Linked DNA regions of Drosophila melanogaster. The protein of the gene in region 2 interacts with the protein of the main gene of each other region in a pairwise test. Each region holds a gene or a part of one and is shown on either strand. Other genes may lie near its edges.

Region 1 (7,003 bases), on a different chromosome or scaffold from region 2:
CCGGCGCCTACTCCTCCCCGGTGGCCACCTACGTCGCCCCCAACTACGGCGTGCCCCAGCACCAGCAGCAGCTGTACAGCGCCTACGTGCCCCAGACCTATGGCTACCAGTACTAAGCACCTGCTCCGACTGCGACTGCGATCATCGCCCAAGGACCACGAACCGACTGCCGAGAAACATAAGCTTTGATGGATTTGACAAAAAATATACCCAAAAATATGTACTGCAATTAAATCACTAAAAAAAAGCTAAATCATGAATTGTTCTTACTAAGGGTATAACTATTGTAGTTTCTAGCAACCAATAGAAGAAGACCAAGCCTAGATTATCATTCCAAGATAATGTTGGTAATAACAAAATCATATTATTATTCTACCAGGCTGTTGTTTGATAAAAGATATATATTCTGATATAACTTTATATATATTAAAAGTCCCAAGTATAACATTTTCTTTAAACATTCCCAAAATGAAGCATTTAAGTATATTTGCTGCACTGTCTTTTTATCATCTTACTAGATAATTGACGACAAAATTTATTTTAGTAACCTAATCAACGTTTATCATTGAAGTAAACCCAATGTTTTTATTCTCCAAGTTAACTTATATAACTTGTACTAAAATAATTTATTTTATAACCATTTTATAACCACCATAAAACCATTTTAAAATCGTTAGCTATTAAATTCCTGAAAAAGGAAATGTAGTTTCGGCTACTGCCTCCAGCTTTTCCCAATCCGATTAAATCTACATCCGCCAGATACAGGTGATTGTAACTAAGCAAACTTTCAGTTTTTAACCTTTGTGCCAAGCAGCTCGTTGTGGGTCACTGAACTGCAGGAAATGCTGGTACCAAACAAAATAGTTATTAAATTGTACATAAATGTATATTTTAGCTAGAAGAAATGCTTGCGACACATCCGAATCAGCGACAAAGCGGAAAATTGAAAAGTGAAAAGTGCAAGCGATTGGGTAATGCGATATCGGATCCCATCATCAATCGCTTGACTGGTCGGTCAGCCTACAAGCCGGAAAGCAGCAGTGGCTACAATGTGCTGACCTTCGGGTTTCAGGTGCTCGTAGGGTTTCCGAGCCCAGCCAAGTAGTGACTTGGGCCCTCCCAGCGGATTAACCCCTTCTAGCCAATGGCCCATTTTCTCGAACTTCCAACTTCGCCCCAATTCTGATCCCACTCGCCCTCTGGAATGTGCGACCAAGTGACCCACTTGTTGGGTGTTACCTTGGCCATCTCCGTTTCCGCTTCGTTGTGCACTTCTGGTGGCATGAGGTTATAAAAGCCACTTGAACAACGCCGCATCTCGGCTTTCTCAGCTTGCAACGCCACCATATCAAGTCAGCATGTGGAAGTATCTCGGATTCTTTGCCCTTTTGGCCGGAGCGAGTTCTCTGGGTCAGCAGGCTGGTTTGGAAGCCTCGACCTGTGGAGGAAGTACAGGGTGCTTAAGGAGCCTGCCATCGAGATCATCAGCTGTCGAGCCCTCGGATGCGTATCTGAACCGTAGGAGGAGGCAACAGCAAATCGTACAGGAGGTAATCGTGGAGAACAACTTTGGTGGTCCCGGGTTTGGTGGACCTGGTTTTGGAGGACCTGGTTTTGGAGGTCCTGGCTTCGGAGGTCCGGGCTTCGGAGGCCCTGGCTTTGGACGTCCCGGCTTTGGAGGTCCCGGTTTCGGAGGTCCCGGCTTCGGAGGTCCTGGTTTTGGACGTGGCAAATTTGGCTTCGCTCGCAGCTACGACCAGGATGAGGCCCAGGTACCGGTTCAGGGAACATACCAACAACAAACCACACTCAGTGAAGTTCCTTCTCCAGCTTGCCCAAAGAACTATGTGTTCTCCTGCGAAGCGGTTATCAAGCCGGTTCCATGTGGGTACAGCTCATATTGATGAACTAGCTGATTTTTAATAAAGTGAAAATTTTAAACAATATTTTAATCTTTTTAATATTTATTATTTATTTAAGACTTCTGTTTGGCACTATTAAATATATAAACAGGATTAGTTTTAGACCAAAATTGGGAGCAACTTTTTGTGCCGCTTTAATCATTGCTAAGACGATAAATAACAAGATATATCTAAAGTGTTCTAGAATTTCAAAATTGCTTACAGCCCATTACTCGTTTTGCATATACGAATTTGTTCTTTTTAAAAAAAGGTGTACTAGTAAAACACAAAACCTTAAATTTGTTGCATCATATCGGTAATAATTATATTTATTTCAGAGAGCTGAAACTTTTTTAATAGCTTGTAGAAAAGCAATAAAACCCTTGATACCCCTTCAATAAAATATCTTAAATGTTTTTTATGAAAGCATTACTTTATTCTTAGGTTCAGATGTCAAGTCAGATTCGTTTCGATCCTTAAAGTTCGCGGACGAAGGGCACGGCGTACTGGGGCACGTACTGGGAGTAGGCACCGGCGGATCCGTAGGACTGAGCTGGGGCGGAGCAGGGCACGGGCTGCAGGGAGGGCTGGCAGCTGAACAGGTAGTTCTTGGGGCACGGCGGCGACGGAATGGAGGCGGGTGCGGAGTAAGCTGGTGCGGCTGGGGCAGAGTAAGCTGGGGCAGCGGGAGCAGAGTAGGCAGGAGCAGCGGGTGCGGAGTAGGCGGGAGCAGCGGGTGCGGAGTAGGCTGGGGCAGCGGGAGCAGAGTAGGCCTGGGCAGCGGGAGCGGCTGGGGCGGAGTACGATGGGGCGGCTGGGGCAGCGCCGTATCCTCCGTAGGCGGCACGCGACACACGGATGTTCTCGGCCAGCGGGGCGGGGATGAGGATGCCCTGAGTGGGCTGCAGCTGGATGGTCTCCGAGGACACGGCGGACAAGGCCACGAGGCCGGCGATGAGGAGGTGACCAAAGTTGAATGCCATTGCGGATGGTTCTTGAGCTGTCTCTACTTGCTGCTGAAGTGACGAACGAAGGCTGACTGTTGATTGTAGCCTCCCAGCCAATCCACTTTATAGCCCACTCGGAAAACGCTGATCGCACTGACGGAGTAGAACGACAGCGTTCCGAAAAAAATGCAAATGGAAGCACCCCGGCTCGAAATCTGCTGACCACCTGCAACCGGCAGTCGACTTTGGAGGAGGGTATTGGGTGCCGGGTTTTGGCCAAACAGCTCTCTTCACAAATGGCTAAGACGATGACGTTCTGGTTTCTGGTCTTGGCTCTGGTGACCTTAAATCCAACCTGGCCATTCTGGCGCACAGGGGCTGCCGAAGTCACTTCCGCATCGATGTTCCAGTTTCTGGACCGCCACAATGGTGAAGGCGACCACAGTTGGTCTCACCTACTGCCCACAAACTTCTACTCCGAGATGAACCAGCAGTACTACAGGAGATTCCGGCGACAGGCTGGCAGAATGGACACCTTCCGATCGGGAAAACGGCAGCAGTACCCTTTTGAATATGCTCGATATGTCTGATAATAAAAGCAACCCAGAATAATATATAGTTTTCTGACTCCAATTTGTAACCTGGTCTTTAAAAATACGTACCCATTTCTGTTCCCGCCAATGCCTTCCACACGTTTTCAAAGTTTCACCAGTTCTCCATGGAAATCTGTCTATCGATAAGGGGATAGTACAAATCCACAGCGCATGACCGCAGTGGTAGCTTTGACGTCACCAGGACGAAGGACACAACAAACCCCCGCACAGTCAGCACGCAACAAATTGACCGAAAACAAGCGCTTGACATTTGGACACCGCCATGAAGCTAACACTGCGACGCTACTCCTGGGTGCTCCTGTTCCAGTTCGCCCTTTTGGGAGTGGACCTCTTTTGCAACGCCTTTGGTCCTTCGCTGGCCAGAAACCGATTGCAGACAGCCATAATTCTCTTTGTGTGAGTATCTTAGGGAATGGAGAAGATATCCTTTCTGAACACAGCACGTTACCACAGCACTCAGGATGCCCTGATTATCGCGGAGTACCTGCTGTTCACCCTCGCCCTGCACTCGACGTGTGTGTACCAGGTCGGCGCCTCGCACATAATCCTGCGGAATTGCAAGCTCTTCATGGCCAGCATTACCATCTACTTCCTTCTGTCCGCCTCCCAGCACTTTTGGATCATCTACCAATACCGTCAGCCGCCAGAAGAGGACGGTCATCATTGGCCACTGGGTCTGATTGCCCTATCAGTGGCACAGCGCATCAGTGAGTTCCGGAAATATTCATTCCACACTTATCCTAATATCTTCCTCTTTCCCGCAGTGTCGGTTTTCTATTACTACAGCTCCAAGTCGACGGCTCTGACCATGGCAGATCCTCGCTTCAAGGAGGAGCATCTTGACTGGATCGCAGATCAGCTGGGCGATAAGTAAGACACCTGGTTAAGTGGACTCTTCGATGAGTGAGTCAGCATAAGAAGTGTACTGTATATAGATAATTAATAGAAATAGATAATAGTTTATAAAGACATCCGATTTAAAACAGAAATGAAAAACCTCTATGCCGAAATTATCAAGTAGATAGCACTAACAGATAAGTCGAAAATAAATCCGACCGAGTTTAAATGCATATAACATTTATAACTCACGTGTGAATATTATTTAATTAGCAAACAAAATTCCTTGACAATATTGTAGTTCTTTTGTTTCCAATAATATTATTCATGTGTAAATAGAAGCAAATATGTAATATCAACTTACTGATACCAACTATAATTCATCTAACAACAAATAAAACAATTTAGACGATTTAATTCTGTAATATATGAATATATTGCAAGGACTTCAAAAAATAATAACCTCTATATTTATAAATATTTACATTTAAATCGTGGTACAGCACCATTTCTTATTGATTGAAAGCTCTAGCCTAAGTTAATAAAACTAATCTGACATTAAATAACATAGTCAATTAAGATCAACAATTTTAAACTTTGCACAATAATTGGTACAGGCTATATTCAATTTTCTAGTGTAATTCGCTCCTCACGTTCCAGAGAGACTGAATGGCACTCCAAATAGCTGCTCCCATCCCTTTCCGATGACATTCAGGCAACATGCGGCATTGGCATGCGTTTCGAACTGCAACTTCCATATCTCGCACCTGTTTTGCGTCTCATCAATAAAGTTGATCGCATACTTTTGGTCTGTAATGCGCTCCACGTCGACCAAATTGCTCAGTGGTTGATTAAGGCTAAGTTCTGGTTGAATGGGCTTTTCCTGAACTTTATCTGACAGCCACGAGAATTTGCCATTTCCTGAGATGTACAAATGTGTCTCCGTGATTAGGAGCAGGGAGGGTTCAAAGGAGCTCTTCTCCTGGTCACAGATCCATTGGCAGCTGGGAATCAGGGAGCACATCTTGACTGGTTCGGACGCAATAGTTTCCCACTGATGGCTGAGTGTGACAGATGGTTGATGATTCAGCTTGCACTGCTCAGGCAGAGGAATTTCTGTTAAAAAATATAATAAGTATTAGGAAAAAAGCAACATGCAAAAAGTTAACTCACGTTGTAAATAATTCAGTAAACTTTCCGTCCTCAGCATGTCATGCAACAGCAGGACAAATCCTCCCCAATCCTTTAAGGTGAAGGACAAGCCAAGTTTCCAGGGCAACAGATCAATGGCCACCAAACGATTGACTGCCACGCTGACGACCTGCCTCAGCCATTTGGCCACATCGTCATGGGGTTCTGCAAAGGCCTCCATTAGATAGCACTTGCAGTTGGACATTACCACAAGCCCTTCTCCCAAGGATTGGGTCTGCTCATTGTAGATGCGACCTTTGGCCAACCACTTGAAATGCTCGCCATCCTCTTTGAACTTTCGTTGGTAGAAGTAGAGCTTCAGACGGTGATCGATATCATTAAAGTCGCTGTAGTTAAACTTGTACGGCTGGGTACCAAAAACAGTTGCCTCCGACTCGATCAACTTCTTTGAGCTGGACATGAGCAGATTGGTTGATTGAAATACAGATGCGAAAGGCAGCAGGCTGGCATCCTCGGCGCTTTTCAAACGGCTATTAGATTCCGCATCCGAACCACTAACTTGGCTGTTTGACGACTCGGTGAGCAGGGAATTTTGTAGATTTTGTGGCGCATCAGTGGCCTGCTGCTCGTAGGTAGTACATATGCTGTCCGTTACGGATCCCGACGAGCTGCTCTCTGTCAGCGGTACATGGGATGGGACAGCCGATTTTGCAGGAGCCAAGGGAGCTGCAGTCGAAGGTGTCGTAGGCTGAGCCTGCTCCGCCAGAAGCTGACCAAACTCGCGTTCGATGAAGCTCTTCGATTTCGCTACTTCATCGTGTATCGTCTCCAGATGAGGTAGCTGGGATATGCGGCGCTCTTCTGAGGTCTTGCGACTGGCGCTCTGCACGTAGTTCGGATCTAGTACCTCTATGCTGGACTGGCTCGGATTGGAGATGATGTCCACATCACTTTCGTTGGCTCGAAACTCCATATCCCGATCCGTGTTCGAGCTGCCCACTACGGATTGATTGGAGTCGAAAGAGCTCTGTGAGTTGGTAATTTTTGAGCAAGAGCTGCTTCCATTTAGCGAATTGGCGGAACCTATAATGTTGAAATATTAGTCTGGTGCTCTAATTAACTTAATTGTTTATTAATGGAAGCAGCATTGCTCTCTAAGATTAATAAAGCTTTAGCTATTGCTTAAATTTTGATATATTTGTCGGTATCTACAGGTCTTATAAACAGCTAAATTTTGTTTCAGATAATACATAATTTTGGGTACCAAGGCTCAAGACGTGCAATAAAATTTTATAAGACTTGTAAACGACGTCGTCGTCCAAGAACTATTAGTAGGTTAGCTTATCTTTGCTTCACGTCCAAATGCTGCTTCACATTATGGAACAAAAGCGAAACGCAAATTGTTAAGTGAAATAAAAAGTATACAAATTGGCATATTAACTTTTGGTGGCTTGCGTCAAACTCCTAAGCTTGGGTGTGATTTTTGCAGTTGTTAGCCTGCAGTTGGCCACTAAAGTATTAATTAAGTTTTTACATCACAACAATGTTATTG
Region 2 (8,677 bases):
TCGGCGGTCGGGTAATCGACTGTTTAAGGTTCTGGAGCAGCGCAACATGACCCTGGAGGAGCTGATCGAGCACCGCAAACGCGGCTCTAGCCAACTGCATCTGTCCACCATCGTGAACGGCGGCGATGAGCACTCGCGTCTGTATCCCGGCCAGAAGGTTCTGCTGCAGGATAACATGGACATTGTTACGGCCTTCGAGAACTTTCCGCACTTTAATCTAATGGATCTGAAGAGCGTCAAGCCCGATGAGATCAAGACCGACTCGCAAGGCTCAAGCTACTTCACCTCCATCATCGATATCGAGCCAAATGACGAGGTCAAACCGATGGGAAGTCGAGGTATTACGGCTTTAAGGTTGCGCCAGCAACGCCAGCGATTGGCGGAGGCCAGGGGCGTGGCAGGAAGAGGGGGCGGGGCCGGGAAAGGGGGCAGTGGCAGGAGGGGTGAAAGGTCGGGATGAGGTCTTTTGCTCCTTCGCGGGCTTCCACATATAGAAACATTAGCTAACAACAACTAAATATATATTGAAAGTACGAGTAGTTGGCATAAGCCCCTCAAAACAATAAAATCTAATCAAATAGTTTGCTTAAGTTCAATTAGAAAGTAGAATTGTATTGTAATGGCATAAATAATTGTTGGTTAAATGGATTTACATAAATAGCCATTAAGATCCCTGCCTGCCAGCTGCCCTATGATTCTTCCTAACTTGACCCTTTACTTTTTTGAATTGCCTTCAAAGACTAAATAACTTCCTCCGTTTCTCGCCCCGCTCGCTCTGTCTTAATCTCGTTCAGCTTCCTGTCGCTCAAATGCTTTCCTTTCAGGTCCCGCCTACGCACAGACATCTTCCTCATCGGCGACCATTGGAGCCGGAACTGGAACCATTTCGATCAATTCGCGTGGCGAAAAGTCGCTGGGATTCTTCCCGTCGTGGAAGACGCTGGCACTCGCCTCCTTGGCCACGGCCACCGAGGAGAGGAATCCTTATTTCCTGCCACCGCCTCGACTGCTGCTCGACGGAAGTTCCCAGGAGGCGGACTCCAACGTTGATTCGGAGCCCACCAGCATTGACATTGATCTAAGCGTGAGTCCTTATGGCGGCAACTCCTCCTCGATGGCGGATAACAGTCGGCTGCCGCCGAATAACGATGTGATCGATGAGATCGAGAACGAGGTGGCGCGGGCACACGATCTCCTGGATCTGGAGCTCTCCGGTCCGGGATTCCATCGCAGTCCTGCTGCAGCGGCGGCCACATCCGCCGTATCGCAGCAGCATTTGAGCAGCTTGTACGCCAGCATGCCATCCGGGATCAAGTCCGCGATTGTGGCCAGCACGGCGATAGTGGTCACCGCGTTGGCCACCTTCCTGGTCATCTTCGTCGTGTGCCGATGGAAACAGCAGCGCAGGAGAAAGAGCAGCTACCTGCGCACCTACAATGCGATGAAGAGCAAGCTGCCGCAGATGGCGCAGCCATCGCGTCGTTCCTCGATGCGCCAGCACATGGAAGAGCTGGTCATTGGATCCAGTTCGGGAACAGGGGCTGGATCTGGATCAGGATCGGGATCTAAGACGGGCATAGCCAGCATCTCCACTTCGGTGGCCTGTTGCACGCCCGTTCATCAGCTGCAGCGGCAGAGTTCAATGCTCTTTGCCCGCGATGGATCCGCCACGATGAGCACCGCCACCTCGCTGACCACGAATAGCACCACGAATACCACCATTACAACGGGGGCGCAGCCACCTGCTCCACCGGAGGCGCTGAGTGGGCGTGGCCTGGCCATTTCGCTGAGAAGTGCTCAACAGAAGCTGAACACAATGGATCCCAGTTCGCCGGAGGTGCAGGAATATCTATTCGACACACTGCGCAAATCCTTCGACAATTAGGCAATAGGCAGTAGGCTCCTCTAGTAACAATAGACCGTTGTTTAGGCCAAGTTTTATATAAATGTACACTTAACACACACACACACACAATGACATCCCCCCAACACACACAAGCATACACACTCTAACGCGAAGGAGCAAAAGTTAGTCGATTAATTAGTTTAAGCAGGTAGGAGGTGGAATTTTTTTGAACTCGATTAGAGGAACATTCTGTGAGAGAAAGTAAAACTAACAAAAAACCAACCTAGAAAACACATTTAGACAGTGCGTGGCATGGCCATAAGGCGCTTTGTAAGAAAAGGTTCAAAAAGATTGTGCAGACATACAGTTTAAAAAGAATAGTGTTCATTTTTAAATATTTTCATGACAGATTGGAATGTAAACTGTATAGTCCACTTTATGTTATTTATTTTTACTTTATTTATTTTCTGATTCATTTGTATCGTTGTAGACCGCAAAACCTAGTTCAATCCGCCCTACGTTTATGGCGCGCACTGTTGCTAGTCTCTAAGCTCGGCAAACTATCGTTTCCAACTATCTAGACCTAATGTACGATTATGATCCATCAACTAACGCGACTCTATCAACTAAATCATAGGACACGGCATTCAAATGGGTTTCTTAGCACGAGATAAAGACGAAAACTAACTTAAATACAGAACAACAGAACAGGATCTTAGCCAAACAAGGTACAGTTGTGTTCAGACACTTTCCCAAAAAAAGGCCCAAATCGAATAAATATTGAAATTCGAGAAAGCAAAATAAAACCATTTATGAGGACAATAAATATTAATGAGGAAATTACGAAAACAAAATAAATAAAAACCAAAAGAAAATGAAGAAAACTGTGTTCGATACGATTTAACTGAAGCAAACTTCTTTCTGGCACTGACTAAAATACCAAAATTTAATTGAATTTAGATCAAGGCAAGGCATAAATGGGCGCTATGTGGGCGTGGTCATTAGCACAACAATACCAACAGCAACAACAACAACAACACTAATATTTTAAATGCGCAAAATGTACTGCAAAAACCAAGAAGTGAAAATAGATGAAACACCTGTATTTATTTCGTAGTGCAGGCACTTTATTTTTGATTTGATTTTCGTTACCACCCCCGCCCCTCTCACTAGGCAGTAGAACATCTGGCGACAGTATATATATATATATATATATATTTATATATATAAATATAATTATATATTTAAGCACGCTCAAATATGTATGTAAATAAGTTTCAATTTGATTTTTTTGAGAAATAAAATGTAGAACAAATTGTGGCAAAGATTTCAAGCATTTCGAAAGCACTTGACTAACCGCATGACTCGCTGGGGTTTTCGACCACAACCGAAGATTGGTGTCGAAATCGCGGCACTATAAATACAGAAGCGAGTGGAGAACCAGAACCACAACCACAACCAGACCCATCCCAGTGCACCATGACCCAGCCGTCGCAAGTGGAAGCGGATCCGTAAATAGATCGTAGATCTTCGGCAAAACAATGCGATCACAATGCCAGACGGGAAGGTCAACAATGGTCGGGCAATCTGGCCATATGCATCTACTCTCGCTTTAAAACAAACAGCACCAGCTGTAAGTGAACATGTAATTTATGGCCAGTGGGACAACTGGCAGATTCAGAGGCCTCTCTGCAGCAAAAACAAGCCCAAACTAAACCGAAAAACACACTTAGGGAAAGATCAACACGAGGGCAGGATTTAAAAATGGAATTCCGGAAAGGTATACAATATTTCTATTTCTAGGCCAACTGAAAAGATCTTCAGAGCAGAAAACTTGGCCTTAAGCCATCTTTTTAGCACAGAATCATATTTCTTCTTAAACTTAGTAGAACAAACTTTAAAAGTAGCGATATTTTTTTAAGGCACCTTTAGCACCTTTATTGCAATCCCAAATCTCAATCGAAACTCACCTGTATAGCTTGTAGCAGAGTCCGTGCTGCGTGAAAAAGAGGCCTCTTTCGCCCGGATGGCTCCTGTTCCCGGTGCTCGGCTCAGTCATGGTGTGGGCGTACTTGTAGAGGAAGGCGTACTGCTTGGCGATGACGCGACACTGACGCATTGCCAGAGCGGCTGCAGCGGTGCCCCGGAGGAGCTCCATCTGCTTGGTGGTAAAGTATAGCACGGTGTTGTATTTGGCAGGCAGAACATCAATGTAGGGCCGCCACTCGCTGAACTCGCCACGGATCTTCTCGATGACCAGATCATAGGCCAGGTTCAAGTGGGTGGCCTGCGTCATTTTGCCAAATAGGCGGCAATCGGAGTTGTTTTCCTCGGATAAGATGAGCTTCCGGGGCACGCTGAGCACCAGCTCATCCTTGGCCAACGGTCGGGTGGCCCGCAGACCCAGTTGGTAGCCGGGAAAGATGGCTATCTCCAGTCCCTCACTGTGAACTCCGCCATCTTTGGCCCACGCACTGAACGCCTCCACTTTGGCCAGACGGGTCTGATCGTCGGGGGAATCGCTGATCTGCGGACACACTGCTTGGCTGAGTGGCTCCTCCAGGATCATGATTTGTTTGAGCAGCTCCTGTAGCTGCCCGTACTGCTTCCATTCCTCGTTGGGATTCGCCGGTTGCTTTTCCACCAAGTCAAGCAGTTCCTCGACGAGCTTGTTTAGTTGGCTCCTCTTTTTGCCGTTTAAACTGGGCAACGAACTGGCCGCCTGCTGGTCCTCAAAATCCTCGACTGCTGTGCCGGATGCGGATGCAGTTACTCCGTTTTGTTGTGGCTGCTGTTGCTGCTGTTTTGTCTTCTTGTTGCGCTTCGTGTTCTTACCCATGGCGGTGCCGTTGGTGGGAGCGAGAGAGAAAGACAGAGAGAGAGGAAGACAGAAAGCTAAGCGGTACCGGCGGCCCAAAACAACAACAGCCAAATAAGGAAAATAAAGTCGAGAAATCTGCACGCGGGCGATCAGCTGGCCGGCAGTGTGGCCATTCGTCGGGCGCCACTAAATTACTCCGACAATTGGTCACACATTCGACGAGCTTTTATGCTGAAAACTTTTTAATAGGGGTACTCCTAAGCTTTTTTTTATTACAAAACTTATGTTTTCTTGTAAAATAAATTGTAATTCACGTTGCATTTTTGGCACATCAATAATATTATAATAATTACTCTTTATAGTTATTAAAATGGCCAGTGTTTTTTTATATTTTATGTTGCATTCTTGAAGAGCGGGAAATTTAAATTGAGAATTTGTCCTAAAATCCAGGTTGCAGAAGCTCGTATGTATAATAATATATTTATTTATTTATATAAATAAAATCGCTCTTTCCATGTCTTTTAGTTTCTATTTATAAACAATTTGACAATGGCCCATAGGGTTATCTTAGATTTTCTAAACGTCATCCAATTGAGAAACGTTATGTTGATAACAAGAAATCCACGAAATAAAAATGTTATTGTACGAAAAAGAAATAATTGTTTGTTGAGCTTTGTGGGTTTTTGCAAAACAAAAACAACAAGAAATATTTACGATTTTCTTATCTACGGTAAAAAAAACTTGAACTAAAAAACTAGGAGATAATGCCGCTCATCAGATGTTTACGCACTTTGTGCCATTTTTGGCTAGGGTGGACCAACACACAAATCAGCGTTTGAGTTAATAGTAAGAAACAAATTCCGTCCAAATATACAACCTAGGATACGAAATCTAAAACATGATAAGTGCATCTTGTAAGAAAGACGCAGTTTGAGAAACTTTCGACAAATACGGAATATGGTCCACCCTAAGGCGCTCAAGCAATTTGAGAGTGGCTCAGTTCTCAGTTCAGTGACTCCAATGCAGCAACAACGGCGGTTGGAGCACCAGCGGGCAGAGCGCGAAAGAGAGGCAGTGGTGGGGCTCCAAAGGCGTAGGCAGGATGGACCATCCAAAGGGGTTCCAGATCGCCTCTTCTGTATAAGTTATCCATAAATAGCTTATACACTGCATCCTTTATGAGTATAATGTGGTAAATGTATAAAGAATCCCGGTATATTAATTGGCAACTCATCTTTAATTTCGGATCACTGATAACCAACCATATTCCCCTGCTATCCCCGCCTTTGGTGACCTGGCTGCCATGTTTCGAGCTGCAGAACTGTTTCTTCCAGCCACCAACTTCTCAGTGCAATCGAGTCGTTCGAGCAGAGAAGTTGGGAAATCCCGTAGAAAAGTAAAACTCTAGGAAAAGAGAGATCGGGAAGGAGAGATAGAGCGATCATGTCTGTGAATGCGGATCTGCAGAGAGAGCGGGCGGCGGCCACCTTGGACAGCGAGGACTTTGCCCGCTGGTGGGCGGGTGGCTCTGGGCAGCTGGAGGAGCGCCGCGCCCTGGAAAGGCGTTTCTATGAGGATCCCGACTTCGCGGAGCCAGTGCATCCGAGCTGTCTGTCATACAAGGAGCGCTACGAACAGACCGTGGCCCGATCCACACGCTTCCTGGCCAAACTGCGCCAATGGCAGCGGGAGAAGCAGCCACAACTTCAGCTTAGTGTGAATATGCTGAGGGACTTTCGGCTGCTACTCTCCGGATCCCTGGGCACGGGCCTCTTCCAGCAGAGCTTCCCCCTTCGGGTGCATTTCTCCATGTTCATGACCACCTTGCTGAGCCAGGGAACCGAGGAGCAGCAGGCCCAGTGGCTCAATCGATCCTGGCACATGGACGGCGTCCTGGGCACCTATGCGCAAACGGAGCTGGGTCACGGCACCTTTGTCCGGGGCCTGGAAACCCGAGCCGACTACGATCCCATCACGCAGGAATTCATCCTGAACACCCCAACGCAAAGTTCATACAAGTGGTGGCCCGGCGGACTTGGTAATACCGCCAATGTGGCCATTGTGCTGGCCCAGCTATATGTGAAGGGCAAGCATTATGGCTTGCAATCATTTGTGGTGAGGATCAGGGACGAGAGGACACACGAACCGTTGACTGGAGTCGATGTGGGCGATATAGGACCTCGCCTGGGTGGCAATGGCGTTAACAACGGCTTTCTGGGACTCCGCGACGTGCGGATACCGCGCAATCAAATGCTGATGAAGAACGCCCAAGTCCTGACCGACGGCACCTTCGTCCAGGGTAGACCTCCGCTGCTGCTCTACGGCACAATGGTCTATGTGCGGGTAATTACCGTGAAGGATGTGCTCTTTGGACTGCTCCAGGCTGCCACCATTGCCACCAGGTGATTATATAGTTTCTGGGGATTATGTTTATCATAGCTGTTATTAAGCCCATAAAACACATTCAGCTCACCCAGGGTTCTTTAGATAATAATTATCATTATCTTTAGGTATTCCGTGGTGCGTCGCCAGAGCCGGATTAACAGCGATCAGCCGGAGGTCTCTGTTTTGGATCACATCACACAGCAGGCAAAGATTCTACCGCAAATTGCTCGAGGAGTGTCCTATCGCCTGGTATCCGATTGGCTGTGGCGCTTCTACGAGGACGTACTCCGCCAACTGGAGGATGAAAGCACGAAAGGACGCAACTCCCTGCCGGAGCTGCACGCCCTGAGCTGCTGCCTCAAGGCGGTGGCCACCGACGAGGCCAGCGAGGGAGTTGATCTGCTGCGCAAGAGTTGCGGTGGCCACGGATTCCTTTCCTCGGCGAATTTCGATAGCATCTATGGTCTGACCGCCGCCACATACACCTACGAGGGAGAGTACACAGTACTCCTGCTCCAGACAGCTCGTTTCCTCGTCCGGCAGTATGCGGATAGCTTAAAACGCAAGGTGCTGCCCTCCAGTGTCTCCTATTTGAGGGATACAGCCCGTTTGATTTGGGGCAAGAATCTGGTTGCGAATTGTGTGCGAGCGCTGGAGATTTCAGCCATGGAGCAGGTGCGTGATGCTTGGCAGACCCAGAAGATGCACCAATCCGGCAAGGTGAGTCCCGAGATGGCCAGCAATCTGGCTGGAAGGCAGCTCACCTCGGCTGCCATAGCCCATGCTCACGCATTCTTCACACGCAATGCACTGGAGCAAGTGGAAGCACTTCGAAAGAAGGGCGATCTTAGCCCGAATGTCTCACTCATCTTGGGCCAACTGGTTGAGCTTTTCGTCATCGATACATTCCTGCGACAGTCGGGATGCGTGCTGCGTTGGAACAACGGCATCACTGGCACCCAACTGCGCTTCGTGGAGCGTCGCTTTGAGGAGCTGCTGGCCAAGCTGCGACCCAATGCGGTGGCTCTGGTGGATGGATTCGATTTTCACGATCGTGTCCTGGGCTCCACGCTGGGGTGTCACGATGGCCGGGTGTACGAGCGTCTCATGGAGGAGGCACGCCGAAATCCGATCAACCAGGAGCCGGTCAACTCGTCCTTCCACAACCACTTGTTGCCCATGATGCGGGGAAAGCTGTGATGTGGGGCTGGTCTTTTGTTTTCTACATACGTATATGTTATTCACTAATTTTTGTATTGAAGTTGAATCATAACATTTTTTTTTAATAAAGGAAATAGGATTTCGCAATTGTTTGTTATTTTGCACTTACCATTTTCAAACTAACTTACTTGCTCGCCCTTGTTAAAGTTGTCTTTTTCCGATTTATTCGTATCGTTTTACACATTACACATATTGAATTAAGCTATTAAATTAGTTTACTCGGATAAATAAAGGCTGGGGTACACACAAAAAAAAAAGGGATTTGATCTGAATCGAGTCTAGAACATCTTCTTCCTGACCGCCGTATACCGCTCCATGTAGACATCGTAGCCATCGAGATCGGTGAACTGTTTCGAGTTGAACAGATTGCCGTCGACGGCCAGGTTGCAGATTTTCGAGTCCTT

What was found.
Region 1: the proteins of Setd3 (region 2) and Vm26Ab interact in a two-hybrid assay, tested with the Drosophila melanogaster proteins (one large-scale study listed by BioGRID).

The regions. Positions count from the first base shown.
Region 1 is NT_033779.5:5,952,947-5,959,949, reverse strand, and holds Vm26Ab (vitelline membrane 26Ab), read right to left. Parts: upstream 2,947-7,003; 5' UTR 2,885-2,946; coding exon 2,378-2,884; 3' UTR 2,311-2,377; downstream 1-2,310. Other genes in the region: Vm26Aa (vitelline membrane 26Aa), read left to right, coding at 1-116; Vm26Ac (vitelline membrane 26Aac), read left to right, coding at 1,359-1,904; CG13998 (uncharacterized protein), read left to right, coding at 3,145-3,438; CG13999 (uncharacterized protein), read left to right, coding at 3,725-3,858, 3,916-4,169, 4,227-4,336; CG9044 (uncharacterized protein), read right to left, coding at 4,949-5,415, 5,473-6,534, 6,893-6,961. UniProt on the Drosophila melanogaster protein: Major early eggshell protein secreted by follicle cells into the perivitelline space and incorporated into the vitelline membrane. Involved in vitelline membrane biogenesis; forms a cross-linked network with other vitelline membrane components.
Region 2 is NC_004354.4:6,963,908-6,972,584, forward strand, and holds the start of Setd3 (SET domain containing 3), read right to left. Parts: upstream 4,844-8,677; 5' UTR 4,686-4,843; coding exon 3,817-4,685; exon of another isoform or gene 1,886-3,816; coding exon of another isoform or gene 825-1,885; intron 393-824; coding exon of another isoform or gene 1-392. Other genes in the region: CG14431 (uncharacterized protein), read left to right, coding at 1-392, 825-1,885; CG4586 (uncharacterized protein), read left to right, coding at 6,111-7,069, 7,178-8,252; CG3040 (uncharacterized protein), read right to left, coding at 8,552-8,677. UniProt on the Drosophila melanogaster protein: Protein-histidine N-methyltransferase that specifically mediates 3-methylhistidine (tele-methylhistidine) methylation of actin at 'His-74'.